Linked DNA regions of Caenorhabditis elegans. The protein of the gene in region 1 interacts with the protein of each later gene in a pairwise test. Each region holds a gene or a part of one and is shown in the gene's direction. Other genes may lie near its edges.

The links. Proteins that work in one complex are often made in the same cells at the same time.
Region 2: the proteins of ced-12 (region 1) and ced-5 interact in a two-hybrid assay, tested with the Caenorhabditis elegans proteins (2 studies listed by BioGRID).
Region 3: the proteins of ced-12 (region 1) and ced-2 interact in a two-hybrid assay, tested with the Caenorhabditis elegans proteins (one study listed by BioGRID).

What each region holds. Positions count from the first base shown.
Region 1 is NC_003279.8:10,222,455-10,228,882, reverse strand, and holds ced-12 (Cell death abnormality protein 12), read left to right. Parts: upstream 1-1,873; 5' UTR 1,874-1,889; coding exon 1,890-1,979; intron 1,980-2,568; coding exon 2,569-2,925; intron 2,926-3,263; coding exon 3,264-3,541; intron 3,542-4,197; coding exon 4,198-4,731; intron 4,732-4,777; coding exon 4,778-5,128; intron 5,129-5,173; coding exon 5,174-5,400; intron 5,401-5,451; coding exon 5,452-5,689; intron 5,690-5,768; coding exon 5,769-5,910; downstream 5,911-6,428. Other genes in the region: csnk-1 (Casein kinase I gamma), read left to right, coding at 1-35, 86-144, 508-663; Y106G6E.4 (putative 5-formyltetrahydrofolate cyclo-ligase), read left to right, coding at 6,105-6,344. UniProt on the Caenorhabditis elegans protein: Involved in programmed apoptosis and necrosis. Required for the cell corpse engulfment process. Has roles in the formation of actin halos and distal tip cell migration.
Region 2 is NC_003282.8:10,482,537-10,487,144, forward strand, and holds the start of ced-5 (Dedicator of cytokinesis protein 1), read left to right. Parts: upstream 1-1,573; 5' UTR 1,574-1,588; coding exon 1,589-1,619; intron 1,620-1,662; coding exon 1,663-2,019; intron 2,020-2,068; coding exon 2,069-2,262; intron 2,263-2,309; coding exon 2,310-2,446; intron 2,447-2,493; coding exon 2,494-2,711; intron 2,712-2,939; coding exon 2,940-4,028; intron 4,029-4,344; coding exon 4,345-4,423; intron 4,424-4,471; coding exon 4,472-4,603; intron 4,604-4,608. Other genes in the region: F01D4.5 (PHD-type domain-containing protein), read right to left, coding at 257-273, 314-533, 584-727, 772-956, 1,007-1,112.
Region 3 is NC_003282.8:1,595,421-1,602,156, forward strand, and holds ced-2 (Cell death abnormality protein 2), read left to right. Parts: upstream 1-1,897; 5' UTR 1,898-1,899; coding exon 1,900-2,338; intron 2,339-4,757; coding exon 4,758-4,960; intron 4,961-5,751; coding exon 5,752-5,949; 3' UTR 5,950-6,201; downstream 6,202-6,736. Other genes in the region: npp-8 (Nucleoporin_N domain-containing protein), read right to left, coding at 1-91, 151-385. UniProt on the Caenorhabditis elegans protein: Required for cell migration and engulfment of cell corpses but not for programmed cell death/apoptosis. Has a role in the migration of the 2 gonadal distal tip cells (DTCs).

The sequences.
Region 1 (6,428 bases):
TCATACGTCAGAATCGAAAGATGTGAAAAGGACTGGTAAGATTTGATTTTAATTGAATAATCTCCTCAATAAGCTGAATTTTCAGACCGTGGAGAGCTGAAAGTCAGTCAAGCAGCTGCTCATGCTCAATTTGGATCTACTCAGGTTCGTATTTTGGATGACTAGGTTTTTGCAAATTTTTTCAAACTAAAACAGTGGAAATCTATTAAAATTGTTTCAATATGAAAAAAAAAATTTCGAAAACGAAAAAAGGAACTTCTGGTTTTTTCATAGAAAGTCGAAAGATCGAAATAATGCTTACTTTAGAAAAATTTTTTTTAATTTTTCATGAAATTTTGTTTGTTGAAAAGAAAAACCAATTTCTGCTTCAAAAAAAAAAGAGATCGTCGTTCTTCGAGAAAAAAGTCTAAAATTATTAAATTAAAAAGGTTTTTTAATTAAAATTTTTCACTTTACAATTTTTTTTTGAAATATAAAAATATAAAACTCATGTATTTATAATTTCAGGTGATTAACTCGAATGCCGGTGAAGTTGTTGAAGAGAGTCGAAATACGGAAGGACGAACAGCTGCAGGAGACAATTCAAGTGGAGAAGTGAAATGCTGTTGCTTCAGGAGACGTCGGAGGAAGCACAACAATGCGACCCCAGCTACACAAAAATAGCACAAGCTAAACGGATAGATGCCATTCCATCTCAATTATCCCACCCCACTATCCACATTCTTCGTCCCCATGCTCCCCCGCGCGCCTCGAAAATACTTTCCCCGTCATCATTTCCGTATCTGTGATGATTCAAAGTGTGTGCACCAAGACGACTTTCTTTCTTTGCTCTTCTTTTTTTTATAATTTTATTCATTCTTCTATTTCAAGAAAGGTTGCTCCCCCGTCTTCAGGTACACATTTGTTTATTGTTTGTTTCTTTTCTATTCATTTTCGATAATTTTCTACTCCTCTTCTAGTTGCTCACACTGATGCACATCCGATATAGTTCGAAATGGAGAAACTCTTCCTTCAGGAATAGTAATCGGATTTGAATTTTTACTCTTCCAAATACATTCAATTATTGCATATATATCTTTAAGTACCCCAAGCATCCCCCCACTCGAATTAAACCTATCAAAGTGTTGTTTTCCAAAGAAAAAAAGCAAAAGAAACCGATGTACGTTCCCACACCCACCCAAAATCCACTCCATTCTTCTTCTTCAATTATTTCAATTTCATCCTCATCATCAATCGTTTTACCCCGGATTCCCCCACCAGTTACTTTTTACCCAATTCTTCCATATATTTTATATACGTCTTCAATTCTCAACCAATATAGCGTGGTGAAAAAACTTGTGATTTTGCATTATTTAACTCTTTTTCTGTTCTTTCCTATTTCCTTTTTCATCAGTTTTTCCACACACACACACACACCTTTGGAATTAAAAAAAAAACTTTTTTTTGCTCGCTCATTCAATATTGCAGCTAATTTTTTTTTTGTTTTTTCGTGTCTTCTCCAATTCTCAACAAACACACAAAACTTCAAGATTCATAATTTACTGGATTTTTATCGATTTCTTATGGTTTTTCTTTTCTTTTTTTCTCAGATCCCCAATTTTTGCCCCCAAATTCCCCCCACAAACACCCTGACTTTTTCTCACCTATCACTATGATTATTTTATTATTATATATTTTATATTATTTATGTGACAAAAAGAATGAATTCCATCCATGTGAATGACCTATTGTTGCATATTTTAATGTCGTTGTTGTGTTTTTTTTTTGTGTAGAATTTAATGTTCTAGATGATGTGTTTATGTGACTCACTGTCTTCTTATCTCTATTTCTCACAGCACTCTTGTGTGTTGTCCCCGAGAAGAATCATTTGATCATCATTAATCGATAAAATGCCATCTTCCTATACTCAGATGGCGTTCCATATGCCATTAAAGGAGTTACAACCAGTTGACACATCACTTCCGGAGCACGTTGTCAAGGTAAAGGGAGTTCTGAGAAAATTTTTTTTTAAAGGAAAATTGAATAATAATAATAATAAAAATACGCTGAAAACTAGAGATTTATCAAAAATATATTCCCAGAGTAAATTTAAAATGAAGAAAATCCCATCAAAAAATTATTTGAAAGATGAAATTTTTCCAGAATATTTAAATAAAATATCAAAAAACTGAAACAGAAATTTTCGATTTTTTTAAATCGATTAAATATTCTGGAAACTATAGAATTTTTTAAAATAAACAAATAAGTGTACTTCGATTAGAAAAAATTAATACAATTCCTTTGAAACAAATACCGAAAACTATTCAAATTGTTTAATTTTTGCAGATAAAATTTAATTTTTAAAAAAACTTCCTTATACTTGAAATTTGAATAGTGGCCGTACAAAATCTAGCACAACTATGTGTCTGTGTCACAAGTATTTGTCGATTTAAGCCGCTCCTGTACTCCCCGAGGAGTTCAGGAGCTACGCTAGATTTTTCAAGAGAGGTTGGTTACCTTCGGAAAAAAAAAGAATTTTCAATTTTGAATAAATTGTTTGACTTGAAAACAAAAGAATCCAAATTTCAGGGTGCCGTAGTGATTGACAAAGAATTTACAATATGGAATCATCGAGCTGTAATTCCATCAAATGCTCTTCACACAGTATTCATAACAATCAATTTATTGGAACAAAAACTGACGGATGTCGTGAAAATGGCAGCTCGATCAATGAATTTATCAGAAGATGATTCGTATGGATTGATGGCTGATAAACCGAAAAGATTCATAACTGATGATAATTTGAATTCATTAGGAAGTGGTTTCATATTAACACTTTGTGCATCACCGGATCATTATGTTAAACGGATTACTGAAATATTGACAGAAGGAAATAATATTTCACAAATGGAAAATGCTGTGAAAACTCTCGATGAGTTTTCTCTGGTAAGATTTTTTATTTCAATTTACCAGAAAAATCAGCAGTCTAAAATATCCATCATTATGAAAATTTTACTCCAAAAGTACAGTGCCCGGTTCCAAGCTGGCCTGTCGGTTTTTCGATTTTTGTTTTACTTGAAAAAACGAAACTTTTTCGACAAAAAAAACGAAAAAAAAAACTTAGAATGTAAAAAAAAAATTCAATTTGTTCTAAAATTTTGTTTTATGTTGAAGAAAAAGCCAAAATTTTCGAAAATTTGCAAAAAAAAAATCATGGAAAACCGGCACCCTTGCCCCCAATCTACAACCACATTTTCCTAATATTTTTTTCATTTAAATTTCAGGATCCCGCTCTAATTGAAGCCTTTTATCGATGCTCATCTCTTGAACTCTTGTTCAGTTTAATTCGTGATGATCGAGTTTGTATGAGCTCAACACTTCTTTCAACATGTCTTCGTGCACTTTCAAGTATGCTGGAATTAGCTGTAGGAGATTTTACATGGAAATCAGTACCAAATGATGTAGTTGTGTCTATGGCATCATTGGTAACTGGAAAAGCGAAACGAGAAGAAGCGAACACGTTGTTAGCTGCTCTTCAGATGCTCGAACAGCTTGTTATCGGGTAAGTTTTATTTAAAAAATTTTTATTTTTTCCAGAAAAAAAACCAAAAACTTTTTTCACAAGAAACGAAAATAATCCATTTTTTCAAAAATTACAATCTTTCAAAAAACACGAATGACTAAAACTTTCTATTTTCTAAAAAAAAAACTACTTTTTAAAAAGAATATCAAGAATTCCAACAAAAAATCCAAAAATCGGATTTTCCCCAAAAAAAACCATTTTTCTAGAAAAAAATTTCAAAATACAATTTCACACCAAAACTACCGAACAATCTTTTATTTTACAAAAAAAACGGAAGAAAAAATCACAAACCATCAGAAAAAAAAATTTGCAAAAAAATTAATTTTAGCCAAAAAAAAACTAACTATTTAATCCTCTTCACATAGAAATAAAACCAAGAAAAAAAATTTTTTGCTAAATATAATACCGAAAAAAAGTCACAATCATACATTTTTCAAAACAAAAACATAAAAATCAACTTCATCAACAAAAATTCCAAAAATTCATTTTTGCCAAAAAAAAACCTATCAGTTTAGCTTAAAATACTTAAAATATAGATTTTTCCAATTTTTTTAATCCAAAAAAATCAACAAAACAACTCCAAAGTACAAAAGAAATTAGAAGTACCATTTTTCTATTTATTGTATAATTTACAGTGACGATACAACTCGTGATTGGATTCTCGAAGAAGTTCCAATAGAGACTCTCATTCGACACGTTGAAAAATCAGATGAACGAATTGCTCTTTGTGCACTTTCACTAATGAATTCAATGATAAGAAGATGTCCTGATGATGAAAAACGATTTGAACTTATTAAATCTTTAGAAGTCGTTCCATTCCGTAATGCTGTACACAGTTCTCTTCTACGTGGTGGTGGTGGTGTTCGAAATCTGAATGCTATTGAACAACTTGTTGAGGTTCAAAGGAGTCTGATTAGTGCATATGAAACTTCACCTCCTACTGATGCTGAAGTTCAGAAAATTCTTGATATTGAATCCAGTGAGGATGTTTCCGAGGAGATCAGAGAAATGTGGAAATCACAAATTGGGGAACACCGATGTGGACGGTTGGCTGCAATTTCGATGGTTCAATTTGCAGAAAAAAGTCCGCAAGATCTGAGAATGCTAATTTCGGAGAATACAATGAGGATTGAAGGAGGAAAATGGCAACTGATTCCAATGTGGATGAGGTTTTTTTGCAAACGTAAAGATGTTCTGATGATTTTTTAAATTCAGGTGCTGTGACATTGCCGCAGAATTGTTCAGAGTAATACCTGGTCGTGATGAGTTGGATCGTTTGATTGTAGTTCTCTTTTCCACGGAGACTCCATTTCCAGCTGTATTCGCATGTATTGTACACCTTTTCCATCGAACATGGCGTGAGATGCAGGCAAAAGGAGGTGAAATGGAGAAAGTTGCGTGTGTTGTACTGGAACAGTTACGGCATGTGCTGAAAAGACGGGAAATACAAGATGTAGAAGAACTATCTGCGGATTTGGAGACTTTTTCGTATAGGGCAATGCAAGAAATTTGGAGAGAGGAACAATTGGGAAAGGAAAATATTCAATTACATAGTGAAGCTGTGATGTAAGTCTGAAAATTCCAATAACTTATTCGTATACATATTTTCAGACAACTAAAATCGAAATTGCGGCCAAAAATGGAGGAATTGGTTCGAATAAATCATCTAAACTATTTGAAGTTAGGCGCCGTTTTTCGAAAACCACAGAAAAGTAAATCCCTCGCAAAGCTCGCCTTCTGGCATTGGAAGCTCGATGCATCGGAGAAAATGCTCACTATAACTGGATGTGATGGTGAGAACTATGTGGAAGGTGTGCAGAGAGATGATATTCGGCAAGGTTGGGGGAATATTGAATTAGTTCTCAAATAATAAATTAATTTATTTTCAGTTTGGATCAAAGATATTGCTGATGTAACAAATAATGATGAGATTGATAGAAAAGCAAGCTCATCTCGATTCACTTCTTCTCCATCTACACAAATGTTAAGAGGGATTCGTGTACAATTAAAAACAACAAATGATATGAAAGAAGGCGAAGTTTTAATGGCATTGACATCCGATGAAACTCAATCTGTTATATGGCTTGAAGGTCTTGCTGAATTGATTGGGAGCAAGGCAGTTAAAAGGTATCTAGACATTGGTTACTGTAGTTACAGTAACCTGAAGAATAGGAAGCCCCGAAAATACCAATTGAAATATTTTCAGTGAAACCGATGCAATGGTTGAACGAATGCTGAAAATGGAGCTACGAGTTCGCCTTCTCAATGTGAAACTCACGAACCCCGAGGAGAAACCAGAAATTCCACCGATCCCTGACGATATCAAAAGCTTTATTTCAAAGTTTTAATCATATTCAAGCTTTATCATTCTTACGTGCATTTTACCATATTGAAAGGCAAAACATTTCCATGTGCATAATAAATTTTGTAATTTATGCCTATTACTGTGTATTTAACTTAATTTGAATAACGAGCCATTAACTACAGGCCACTAACAGTTTTCTGAATCTCTTGAAAACAAATTTTTGACCAACATTTTCAGATGAGTGCTATAAAAGAGGTAAAATCAGAGCTCAGGCAGTTTATGAAGACATTGCTCGGAAAAATTTCGAAAGAAGAAACTCAACGTCAAACAGAGGCGGTTTTTGAAAAAATAATTGAATCGAAATGGTTTCAAGAGAGCAAGAGATTGTCAGTTTATGTTAGTACATCGGGAGAAATACAAACTGATTCGATTATTCAAAAAGCGTTGGAAATGGGAAAAGAAGTTTTCATTCCACAGGTAAAATTTATTTTGAAACAGATGCGCAATAGATGTTAAGATGTAGGCATGTAGGTAGGCACATAGGCAGGCAGAAATAAAGCA
Region 2 (4,608 bases), on another chromosome or scaffold:
AAGAGGAAATTTTCTGCATCCCAATAATAACAAGAATCGTTATTCAAGTGTTGCGAAAATGTGGAGTTTCAATAAAATTAAATTTGTATTATAAAACTGAAATCTTTTATTTCGTTGTTTCAGTGTGCAATTGGTAAAACATGGGACATGAGAATGTAAAAAATGAAAAAAAAACATAATTGAAAAGCAAAACTTGTTTGATGAGAAATGAGAATCGATTTTTCACGAATTGCACAAGAGAGCGTGCTCGTCGAGTTTATAGCCTGTAAAAAACTGATAAGAGTGGGAGGTATTTTGTCTGGAATGTCTGTACCTTTGTTTTTGGCACATGGGTAATGAATGAACGTGTTTTTCTTATTTTGTACAGAAATTGCGGCACCAGTTTTGCGGCAAACTATGCACGTTTGAGACCAGAAAATATCGATTTGATTATCCAGATTTGTTAGCTGATTGCCGTGAAGATGCACATTTGGAGCCCATAAAACACATGAGCCATGGAACCATAATTCGATTTTTGTAGGTTTTTTGGCAGTCTGAAAAGTTAATTAATTTTTAGATTTTAGAGAATGGGATGGGTTGTTACAGGTTTCTTAGCCAGGAAAGATGGCCAATATTTAATTGGATTATGTGTTGCATAATATGGTCCAAAAAGTTCTCGTTTCTCTCCATTTTCGTGGCACAATGCACACACATAGGAAGATTCAATGGCGTCTGACTGCTCTTCCCACTGAAAATTAATAATAAAAATTAGATTTATCATTTTAATCGTACCTGAAAAAGCTTTGTCATGTGAAAATCCAAAGTTCGATTGACAGTTGCTTCGTGATTCCCCGAATTTTTGATAACTGATTTTCCATTTCTCACTTCAAACATCGGAGTCTCATCTTTTCTATTTGATTTATACTTTGAACCAAATTTTTGATTTATTTGAGTGGCCATATTTTTGTTCTCTTCGTCTGTAAATCAAAGTGAAGAAAAAATATTTTTATTATAAAAACCAATTTACACTCTTCATCTTCCTCATTTCTTTTCTTCTTCTTCACACGTCTCCGTTTTTTGGGTGGTGATTTATGCACTGAATTTGATGTAGATTCTAGATCATCAATTTCCATTGGTTTTCTGGAATTTTTTTTCTGATTCTATAGAAAAAAATTTAAAAATATAACACGAAGTTACCATAAAATATAGATATTCACATTATATTTATGACAAAACATGCATTTTATCGGTTTTGTTATACATTAACTATTAAAATATTAAATTTAAAACTGTTAAAAATTCAATGGAATCCAAAACGTATACGGTTATTCTGCCAATTGACTTCCAAATTCATTCTCCCGGCAACAATGGCCTAGGTTCCACAAGCATAAATCCTCGGCCACGGTTTGTGGACTCCTCTCGGATAAACAGTTACTCATCAGAAATAAACAGTTCTCGTGATATTTACGTTTGTTTCTCACAGAAACTGTCTCCGTTTTGATTTGTATATTTATATTTGATATTTTAAATTAATATAACGTAGTTTTAAATTAAATTGTCCGTTTTAATTGAAAATTCAAGCTTAAATCTTCAGATAAATGAGTTCGTAATGGCAACGACGGGTTTCTATTATGCAATCGGTTTGTTTTCACTTCGCAACTATTTAAATATCTTATTTTTCAGTTCAATACACATTTGAGGATCCGCTTCCATCTTGTGATGCTCCACGATTAGAACTTTTTATTGGCGATCGAATATGTGTTTACGGGCAGCACGGAGAGTGGGGATATGGTCGAAAATTTGACGAGAAAAATGGAAAATGTGGGATTTTTCCACTTGCCTATGTACAAATCGTTCAAAAGTCCATGTTCGTATCGACAAGTGACGGATATCTCGTTGTGGATGAAATTTCCAGAGTTATTAATGAATGGTGGACCAAAATTAAAGAATTGATGGTGGAAACGACAAGGATTGGATCATTCGAAGACTTGATGGATAGTTTTAATGAACTACTAATAATAAAAACTAAAATCGAAAGTGGTAATTTTGTTTCTTTATCAGGAATATAGTAAAATAATTATGCTTTTAGGTGGGATTCCAATTGAAGAGTTGAGCAAACTCCGATTGCGCGTTTCAAAACTGGTAGACCGTGGAAATACAATTCTTGGCCAAGATGTAGTGATTCGCAATGAAGAGGGTGTTCCGCTTGACGTTGAATCACTTTCACTTCTTAGAACATATGAAGCACACATTTCTTCGAAAGGAAGGGTCGGATCATTGATGGTATACTATTTTTTCTCTTACAAGCAATATATTTTTCAAATTTTCAGCGGGAGAAACCTGAAAATGTTACAATCAACGATAGTTTCTCATTGCTGCTCTCCATTAAATCTGTCGAACTCCATTGTAAATATTCCTGTGAAATAAGCATATCACTATATGATCTGGACAAGAAAATGTTCACCACGTAACTCACAATTTTTCTGAAAAAGACAATAGTTGCATTATTTTCAGAGATAGTTATACATTTCTCTGGAACAGCGGTAGTGGAAAACACACGGATTTAAATTTGAAAGCACTGTTCACTGATTTTGCAAAAGAAGATATTCAGAAAAAGTATTTGATGGTAACTCGAGTTGTTCATGTATCACCGATTGAATCTTCTAATGCTACGATGAGAAAGCATGGACATCACGAAGCAACTATACCAAAGACATTTTATTGTAGGCAATGTGAGTTTAAATCACAAAATGAGCTAGTGTAGCATGTTCTCCCAGTAATTTTCGCCAATTTTTGGCGAAAATTGGTTTTTTTATTTTTATTTTCGCCTATCAATATCACTAAATTTTAATGAAAAATATTGGAAGAACATGCCCACTGCCTGATTTTGTAGAATTACCGGTTAGTAATTGCCGCGCAACCCTGGTTGGAATACAAAAATTTATTGCTGCTACTTTCAGCGTACGCCTCGGACATCATGGAAATGTCAAGCATCTTTCTTGCTGGTGTTGGCCACGAAGCAAAAGAACGTGTAATTTTCCTGAATCGAGAACCAGAACTTCCATTATCTCTAAAAGCATATCACGCTACAAATCGTATACCGAAGAATTTAAGCAACGATATGGAAACAAAACTATTGATAAGTACCCAATTAGTTCCTGGAAATGTTTCTCAAATCAAGGCAAGACACCCACATTTGTTCAGTAGATGTCCAGCGGCGATTCTACGAAGAGCTGATAGAACAGCAGTTTCAATTGAAGATAGTCGAAATGAGATGTATATTACTTTAATGCAGGCTGAATTATCTGGAAAATCATCTGATCGTAACATTGAGGCACGTCTTCATGTCGTGGAATCAAATGGACATGTTATGGAAAATGTTTTTGAGACTATTTCGGTTACTGGTTCGCAACTTAGCACTGTCTACAAGAGTATTGTAGTTTATCATACTGACAAACCAATGTGGACGGAACCAATAAAAATTGCTCTTCCCTCATGTGCTTCTCATGATGTATACCTTCGGATCTTATTTTATTCGAAGAAAGCATATGACAAACCAAAACCAGAAAAAGGACCATTTGCAATTGCACATGTTCAACTCATTCGAAGTAGTGCTCTACTCTGTGATGGTGAACATGACTTGGCTGTCTACAAAATTGATAATCCAGGATCTCACTTTGATGAATCAAATGTACATTATATGAACTTACCTGATACCAGAAGAACACTCAAAGAATCAATTGGAAGCGCGAAACCTCATTCACAGGGTTTTAGTTTGAGTGATAAAAGTTTTGTGATGATATCCACTCATTCATGTTCTTCAATGTTAACTCAAAATGAGCATTTGTTGAATGTGTTGAGATGGCGTGTAAATTGTGTCAACCTTACATCTTCATTGGTGGCTCTTGCTCAACCAATTGGAGATACGGAACACGAAATGATTCGATTCTTCTCACATTTATTGGATGCACTCTTTGAAATTTGGCATGATCGTGAGACTTCGGAGAAAGTCGTTTTTGATGTTATCGTGGCGGTTTTAAGAATTTGTGGTAAGTGTACAGCTTTCTGACATTTTGTTCAGTTAGAGAAAAGTTCCGGCGAAAATATTTGTTAAGCAAATTACAATTTTTCGCTGAAATGTTTCCTGACAAAATTGAATTATCCGTCGAAAAATTGCCAGAGAACATTTGAATTCTCCGCCAAAAATGTTTGAATGAAATTTTGAAATTCTTGCCATATTTTTTCCGAGAAATTTTTCTTAAGATAAAATTTTTTTATCAAAAAAAAAACTAGCGGTGCAGCTGACCATAAATTTTTTTTTCAAATATTTCTTTTTGGATAAAGTTATTTATTTTAATATTTCAGAGGAGCCACGACACTACCCACAGGCTGCAAAAATATTCGAAGTGTATCTGAAACGATTTTCATTTACTTCAGCGGCACTGTAAGTTTTCATAGATTACACGTATAATTCAAATTCCTTTGTTTCCAGAAAAATTCTAAAGTGTCTCAATCACTATGTCATCTCGGATTCAGAAGATTCAAATGAGAAAGCGAGAAATGCATTCAAAGTTATGGGTCCTCTCTTCAAATTAGTTGTCGTGTCGAAGAAATGTGGAATAAAGTACG
Region 3 (6,736 bases), on another chromosome or scaffold:
TCGTAATTCCACATATAGAGATTGTTATCAATGACGACCCAAACTCGGCTGATTTGTGTGAAGAATCCCATGCTAAACTCGCTGTGAATATCTGAAAATTCACCAATTTTTCGCTGAAAAACCCCCCCATCGGAAACAATGCTCTCTCACTGCTCATTTGCATTTGAAGCTCTCCGGGTATTGGGATTCGCCGTGTGCTCACAAACTCCGGCGCTCCCTTCACATAAAACTTCTCGCCGAGACCGGAGACGGGCGTCGTGCCGTGTTGTGTGAGGCGATCGAAGAAATCCGATGTCTCCATCATCTGCTCGACGTGGTGTGCCACCTTGTTCGCCGCCGCTTCTGCCGAGTCGGCCGAGCCCAACTCCATAAACGAGACACTCATCTCGGAGGATGGAAAGCTGCTGAAAAAGTCGGAAAATTTTGAGTGATTTTTGATATTTTAACCTTTAAACTTGAAAATTATAGCAAAAAACTGTAAAAAACCCGGAAAACTTCCCGCAAAACGCAACTTTTCGCGCAAAATTCCGAATTCAAATTGCAATGCGGCGCGGAAAAGTGGGCGGGGTCGCGTGTTGCAAGTCCCCCGCACACCTCATCGTGTACTCCTCTCGGACAAGCGCAACAGCTGACAATTTATTTTTGCGTGCAAAAAAAGTCGTTTGTTTGCAATTTCTCACCAGTTTTCGGAGATTTTCTTGATTTTTTGCGGTTGCGCATCGTAAAATACGTATTTAAAATGTGTAAACTTTGGCTCCAGTCGACAAGAAGCTTATGAGTCATTGCCTGGGAAAATTGCTCATCAATTTCCTCATTTTTACGAATAATTGGTGTTTCAATGCGTATAAAAACAAGAAATCGGTAAATTTAGTATGAAATATATTCGAAAATAAAGGTTTTAAGCGTATTTTTCAATTTTCTTCTACTAAAAACCGAACTTTAGCCTAAAAACCTGCTTATTCTGCTCGAAATTCTCGATTTCGCCATGTTTTCCAATTTTTTAACACAGTTTTTCAAAAAAATTCTTCATTTTTCCCATAATTTAGCCGAAAAACTCAACTATTTTGCCCTCTTTTTCCCTAAAACTCGCCATTTCCTACCAAAATTTGAAAATTTTCACTGTGTCCAATCGATTTTTCTTCCTAAAAGTACCATTTTCTCCAATGTTCATTTATTTTTCAGAAATTTTCACTAGAATTACTAGATTTTCTGTGCCAAAACCACGATTTTCAGCAATTTCTTTCTTTAAAATCTTATTTTTTGCCATTTTAAGGTACTTTTCCAACGAAATTCCTGATTTTTTGATTTTTCCACGCAAGTTTTGGCCGATTTTTAACTGATTTTCAGCATTTTTTCAGCCAAAAAAACATCCATTTTTGTTCATTTCCTGAATTTTTTAAATGGAAATTCCTTGATTTTCTTGGAAAATCACGCTAATTATTATTCAATTTCCAACTTTTTCATCCAATTTTCTGCCTATATTGACTCGTTTTCCTTTAAAAAATCGAATTTTCACCCGTTTTTTCACATTTTCAGCAATGTTTAGGTTGAAAATCATATTTTTATTCATTTTAAAATATTTTTTCCCACGAAATTCTTGATTTTTTTTTTGAAGATTTTTGCGTTTTCTTCTCAAAGATGGTGATTTTTGGCCGATTTTCATAAATTTTCGCTCTCAAAAACAAGATTTTAAGCATTTTTCAGCCGAAAAAACTTTCCCCTTTTATATAATTTTTCTTGATTTTTCGTCTTTTTTTTCTGGATTTTTAGGAATTTCTCGTGATTTTTGATGATTTTCCGTCTATTTGGGTTACGTTTTCCAGAAAATTTTCCCAACTTTGACCAATTTTGCGCGCCTAAAAATTCCACGTTTCTAAACAATTTCCCGCATTTTCAGAAATGACGACAAACGGGTTCGATCCATTCGAGTGGCGTTCATTCTACTTCCCAGGAATGAGCCGTGAAGAGGCTCACAAGTTGCTCGGCGAGCCACAAGTATCGATCGGCACCTTCCTAATGCGGGATAGCTCACGCCCCGGTGAATATTCACTGACAGTACGTGAAGCCGACGAGGGAAATGCCGTTTGTCATTATTTGATTGAAAGAGGAGAACCGAAAGAAGATGGAACTGCTGCAGCTGGCGTGAAAATCGCGAATCAGTCGTTTCCAGACATTCCGGCGTTGTTGAATCATTTTAAAATGCGAGTTTTGACTGAGGCAAGCCTGCTGGCCGCCTACAAGAAGCCTATCATTGAGGTTGTCGTCGGAACATTCAAATTCACAGGGGAACGAGAGACAGATCTTCCGTTTGAGCAAGGAGAGCGGCTCGAGATTCTTTGTGAGCTTTAAAGCAGCACTTTTTTGATTAAAGGTGGACTAAACCCTGTGGGGAACTTGCTTTATTGAAATTTAAATTTGCCCATCGAAAACGTCAAAAATTAACTAAAAATCTCAATTTTTCGGCGATTTTAATTGAGAAATGGCTTGAGAAAGTGGTAAAATTTGGCAAAACTTGGTTTTTAATAGTTTTTTTTTTGCATTTGGCTTCAATTTCCCCGAATTTTCAGATTTTTTAATCGAAAAAGTGCTCTTAAAGCTCACAAAGAATCTCGAGCCGCTAAATCAGTGGATTTTTCGGGGATTTCACGAGAAAATTGACATTTCTAGTAGTTTAAATGGCATTTTCCGAACCTTTGTTCTTTCTTCTCTAAGAAGTGCTCGAGATTCCAGAAATTGATTTTTTTTCCAGAAAAAACGTTATAATTGTGAGGAAATCGACATTTTTTCTTGCATTTGGCACTATTTTCTCCGAATTTTTAGATTTTTTAAAGGCGGACCCAGTGGGGAAATTGCTTTAAAACACGCCTATGGGGCCACAATGACAGAATATCATGATTAAAAAATTCAAAAAAATTTCCCTGATTTTATATGATTTTTTGAAAATTGAAAAAAAATCTCAGTTTTCACCTAATTATTTTTGAATTTCCGCCAATTGGATTTTTTCAATGGAGCGCGCTTGCATTATTTTCATTAATTTTCAAAATTTTATTTCTTCTCATTATTGGACTGATTTTCTTCATTTTTTGGAGTTTTTCATCGGAAAATGGAAGAGAAATAAACAAGAAAAATGCAAATTGTTTGTTAAAAATTAACTGAAATTTTCTAAAACTGTGATTTCTTGAGTTCTGACAACGACAAGCCTGAAATTAGTATATTTTACAGTTTTACGCATTTTCAGTTACTTTTAAAAAATCATTTTGCATTTTTCTTGTTGTTTTCTTCGATTTTCCGATGAAAAACCACAAAAAATGAAGAAAATCAGTCCAATAATGAGAAGAAATAGAATTAATTAATGAAAATAATGCAAGCGCGCTCCAACGAACGAGTTCAATTGGCGGAAATTCAAATAGGAATTAGGTGAAAACTGAGATTTTTTCAATTTTCAAAAAATCATTTAAAATCATAAAAAAAAATTTTGAATTTTTTAATCATGATATTCTGTCATTGTGACCCCATAGGCGTGTTTTAAAGCAATTTCCCCACTGAGCGTAGTCCACCTTTAAATAATCTAAAAATACGGAGAAAATAGTGCCAAATGCAAGAAAAAATGTCGATTTCCTCACAATTATAACGTTTTTTTCTGGAAAAAAAATCAATTTCTGGAATCTCGAGCACTTCTTAGAGAAGAAAGACCAAAGGTTCGGAAAATGCCATTTAAACTACGAGAAATGAGTTTTCTCGTGAAATCCCCGAAAATCCACTGATTTAGCGGCTCGAGATTCTTTGTGAGCTTTAAGAGCACTTTTTCGATTAAAAAATCTGAAAATTCGGGGAAATTGAAGCCAAATGCAAAAAAAAAACTATTAAAAACCAAGTTTTGCCAAATTTTACCACTTTCTCAAGCCATTTCTCAATTAAAATCGCCGAAAAATCGAGATTTTTAGTTAATTTTTGACGTTTTCGATGGGCAAATTTAAATTTCCGATTGTTACCATGTTAGTGAGAAAATGAGCAATTTTCAGTAAATTTCCACCCATTTTCTCCTGTTTTTATTGGAAAATGGTAAATTTTGACTGTTTTTCAAGAAAACCAGAAACTTTTGGTAAATTTCCACATTTTTTTAATCCAAAAAGCCGCAAAAATGTTAAAAATTTACGTTTTTCAATGGAAAAATGCGATTTTCTACAAAATTCGCCTAATTTTAACCCGGTTTAGTAGAAAAATGCGAAATTCAGTGCATTATGACTATTTTCCTAATGAAAACAAGAAATTTCAGTCATTTTTACTATTTTCAACTGGAAAATGGAAAGTTTCTGCGAATTTCGACTGTTTTTCACGAAAAAACAACAAAATTCGATCAATTTTGCCATTTTTTCACGAAAAAAACTTTTATTTTATGAAAAAATTCAAAAACCCGGACTCATCGTTGTGAGACCCTGTCCACCCACCCCACTGCGCCTTTAAACTTGTGTCGATTTACGCGGTGTTTTTTTTTGGAGAAACTCTATTTTCGGACGAATTTAAACTGTTTTTAAGGCAATTTTTCACTTAAAACCGCAAAATTATCTGAAAAATAAAATTATAAACGAATTTTATAATGGAAATACGAAATTTTACCTGTAAAAACCATAAAATTTGAAAAAAAAACCGTGTTTTTTGATTTTCTCCCGTTTTTCTCAAGATTTTGTGCATTTTCCAAGTTTTTTTCGGTAATTTTCCTCGAAAATACTAGATTTTTAATAATTTTTTTTTTCCAGCAAAAACGAACCAGGATTGGTGGGAGGCGAGAAACGCGTTGGGAACCACTGGATTAGTGCCGGCAAACTATGTACAAATTCAGATGGAATTTCACAATGACAGAACCTCAAAAGGCGCCAGTCAATCGTCGATCGGAAGCAGCGGAGGTGGCGCCGAACGATTTTCGAGCGCCAGCACGAGCAGTGATAATATTGAGCTCCAGGTGTGGAAAATTGCCGGAAAAATCCACAAATTTCAGATTTTTTGCTGAAAAATTGCGTTTTTTAGTCAATTTTTGACATTTTTCGATGGGAAAATTTCGAATTTCGAGACGATTTTCCTTGTAAATTACAGAATTTTAATGGGAAAGTTGGATCTGAAATTTCTCTTTAAAAATTTGCTCAATTTTTACCGTTTTTAGTGAAAATTCGGTCATATTTTGAAATTTTCACTGAAAAAAAAATGGAAATTTCAGTCAATTTTTAACATTTCTAGTGGAAAAATCGAAAATTTCCTAATATTTCGACCATATTCCAAGAATAAACGAAGCATTTCAGGCAACTTTGACATTTTTTCACGGAAAACACCAATTTTTAGATTTTTCTATTGGAAAATGCGAAATTTCAGTCAATTTCCATCTTTCTAATGAATATTCAATGATTTTTTATTAATTCTAGTTGGAAAATGTCAAATTTCAGTGAATTTCGGCTGTTTTTGTCAAAAAAAAACGAATAATTTCGATCAATTTTGACCTTTTTACTTAAAAAAACTTTTTTTTTTTCTCAAAAAATTTAAAAATCCGGCTCATCGCTGCGAGACCCTTCCACCAACCCTACTGCGCCTTTAAACTTGTGTCGATTTACGCGGTGTTTTTTTTCGGAGAAACTCTATTTTCAGGCCGTTTTCAAGTTATTTTCCACCTAAAATCTGCAAAATTAACTGAAAAATGAAATTATTAACGATTTTTATCATGAAAAACATCTCCTAAACCGAAAAAAAAATTCAATATTTCAGCCCCGTCTGCCAGCAAAAGCCAAAGTGACGTTCGATCGTGTCCCAAACGCCTACGATCCGACCCAATTGCGTGTGAAAAAGGGGCAAACAGTGCTTGTAACTCAGAAAATGTCCAACGGAATGTACAAAGCGGAACTCGACGGCCAAATTGGCTCGGTGCCTCATACATACCTCAGATTCACCGCCGTCAGCGAATAAAATCGTTTTTTTTTTCTAAATTTTTAACCTTGAAATTTATTGATTCGCTTGCCCCTCCACCAGTTTTCCTCTAATACATTACAGCTTTACCATAGAAAAAAATCGTTTTTTTTTCCAAATTATATTTATAATGATATCATGCACAATTTTCGTTGCCTTTTCCGCCCACCGAACCCCAATTCGTGTCCATTCCATTTTGTTCACTTTTCCCTTTCAACCTGCCGGATGATTAATAAACCGTTTTAATTATGATTTTTTCGAATTTTTGTTGGAAAATGAGGTGCTATAGAGCCTCTGAGAGTACTTTTTAAGAAAAAAATGTCATAATTTTGGAGTTTTTTTCAAAGTTTTGAAAATTTACTTGAAGATTTCCAGCAAATTGCAAAAAAATCCGATTTTTCGACGTATTTTGGTGAATTTTCGGCCTTTTTTTTTCGAATTTTCTCTGAAATTGCAATAAATTCTGGTTTTTCAGGCTAAAAAACGGTCAATTTTTTCTATTTTCAACTGGAAAATGGAAAGTTTCTCTGAACTTCGACTGTTTTTCACGAAAAAACAACAAATTTTGATCAAATTTGCCATTTTTTCACGAAAAAAACTTTTATTTTATGAAAAATTCAAATACCCCGGGCCATCGTTGCGAGACCCTTTCACTCTCCATACTGCGCCTTTAAACTTGTGTCGATTTACGCGGTGTTTTTTTTTTGGAGAAACTCTGTTTTCTGTCGAATTTAAACCTTTTTCAAGCTATTTTTCACTTAAAAACGGGAAAATTAACTGAAAAATT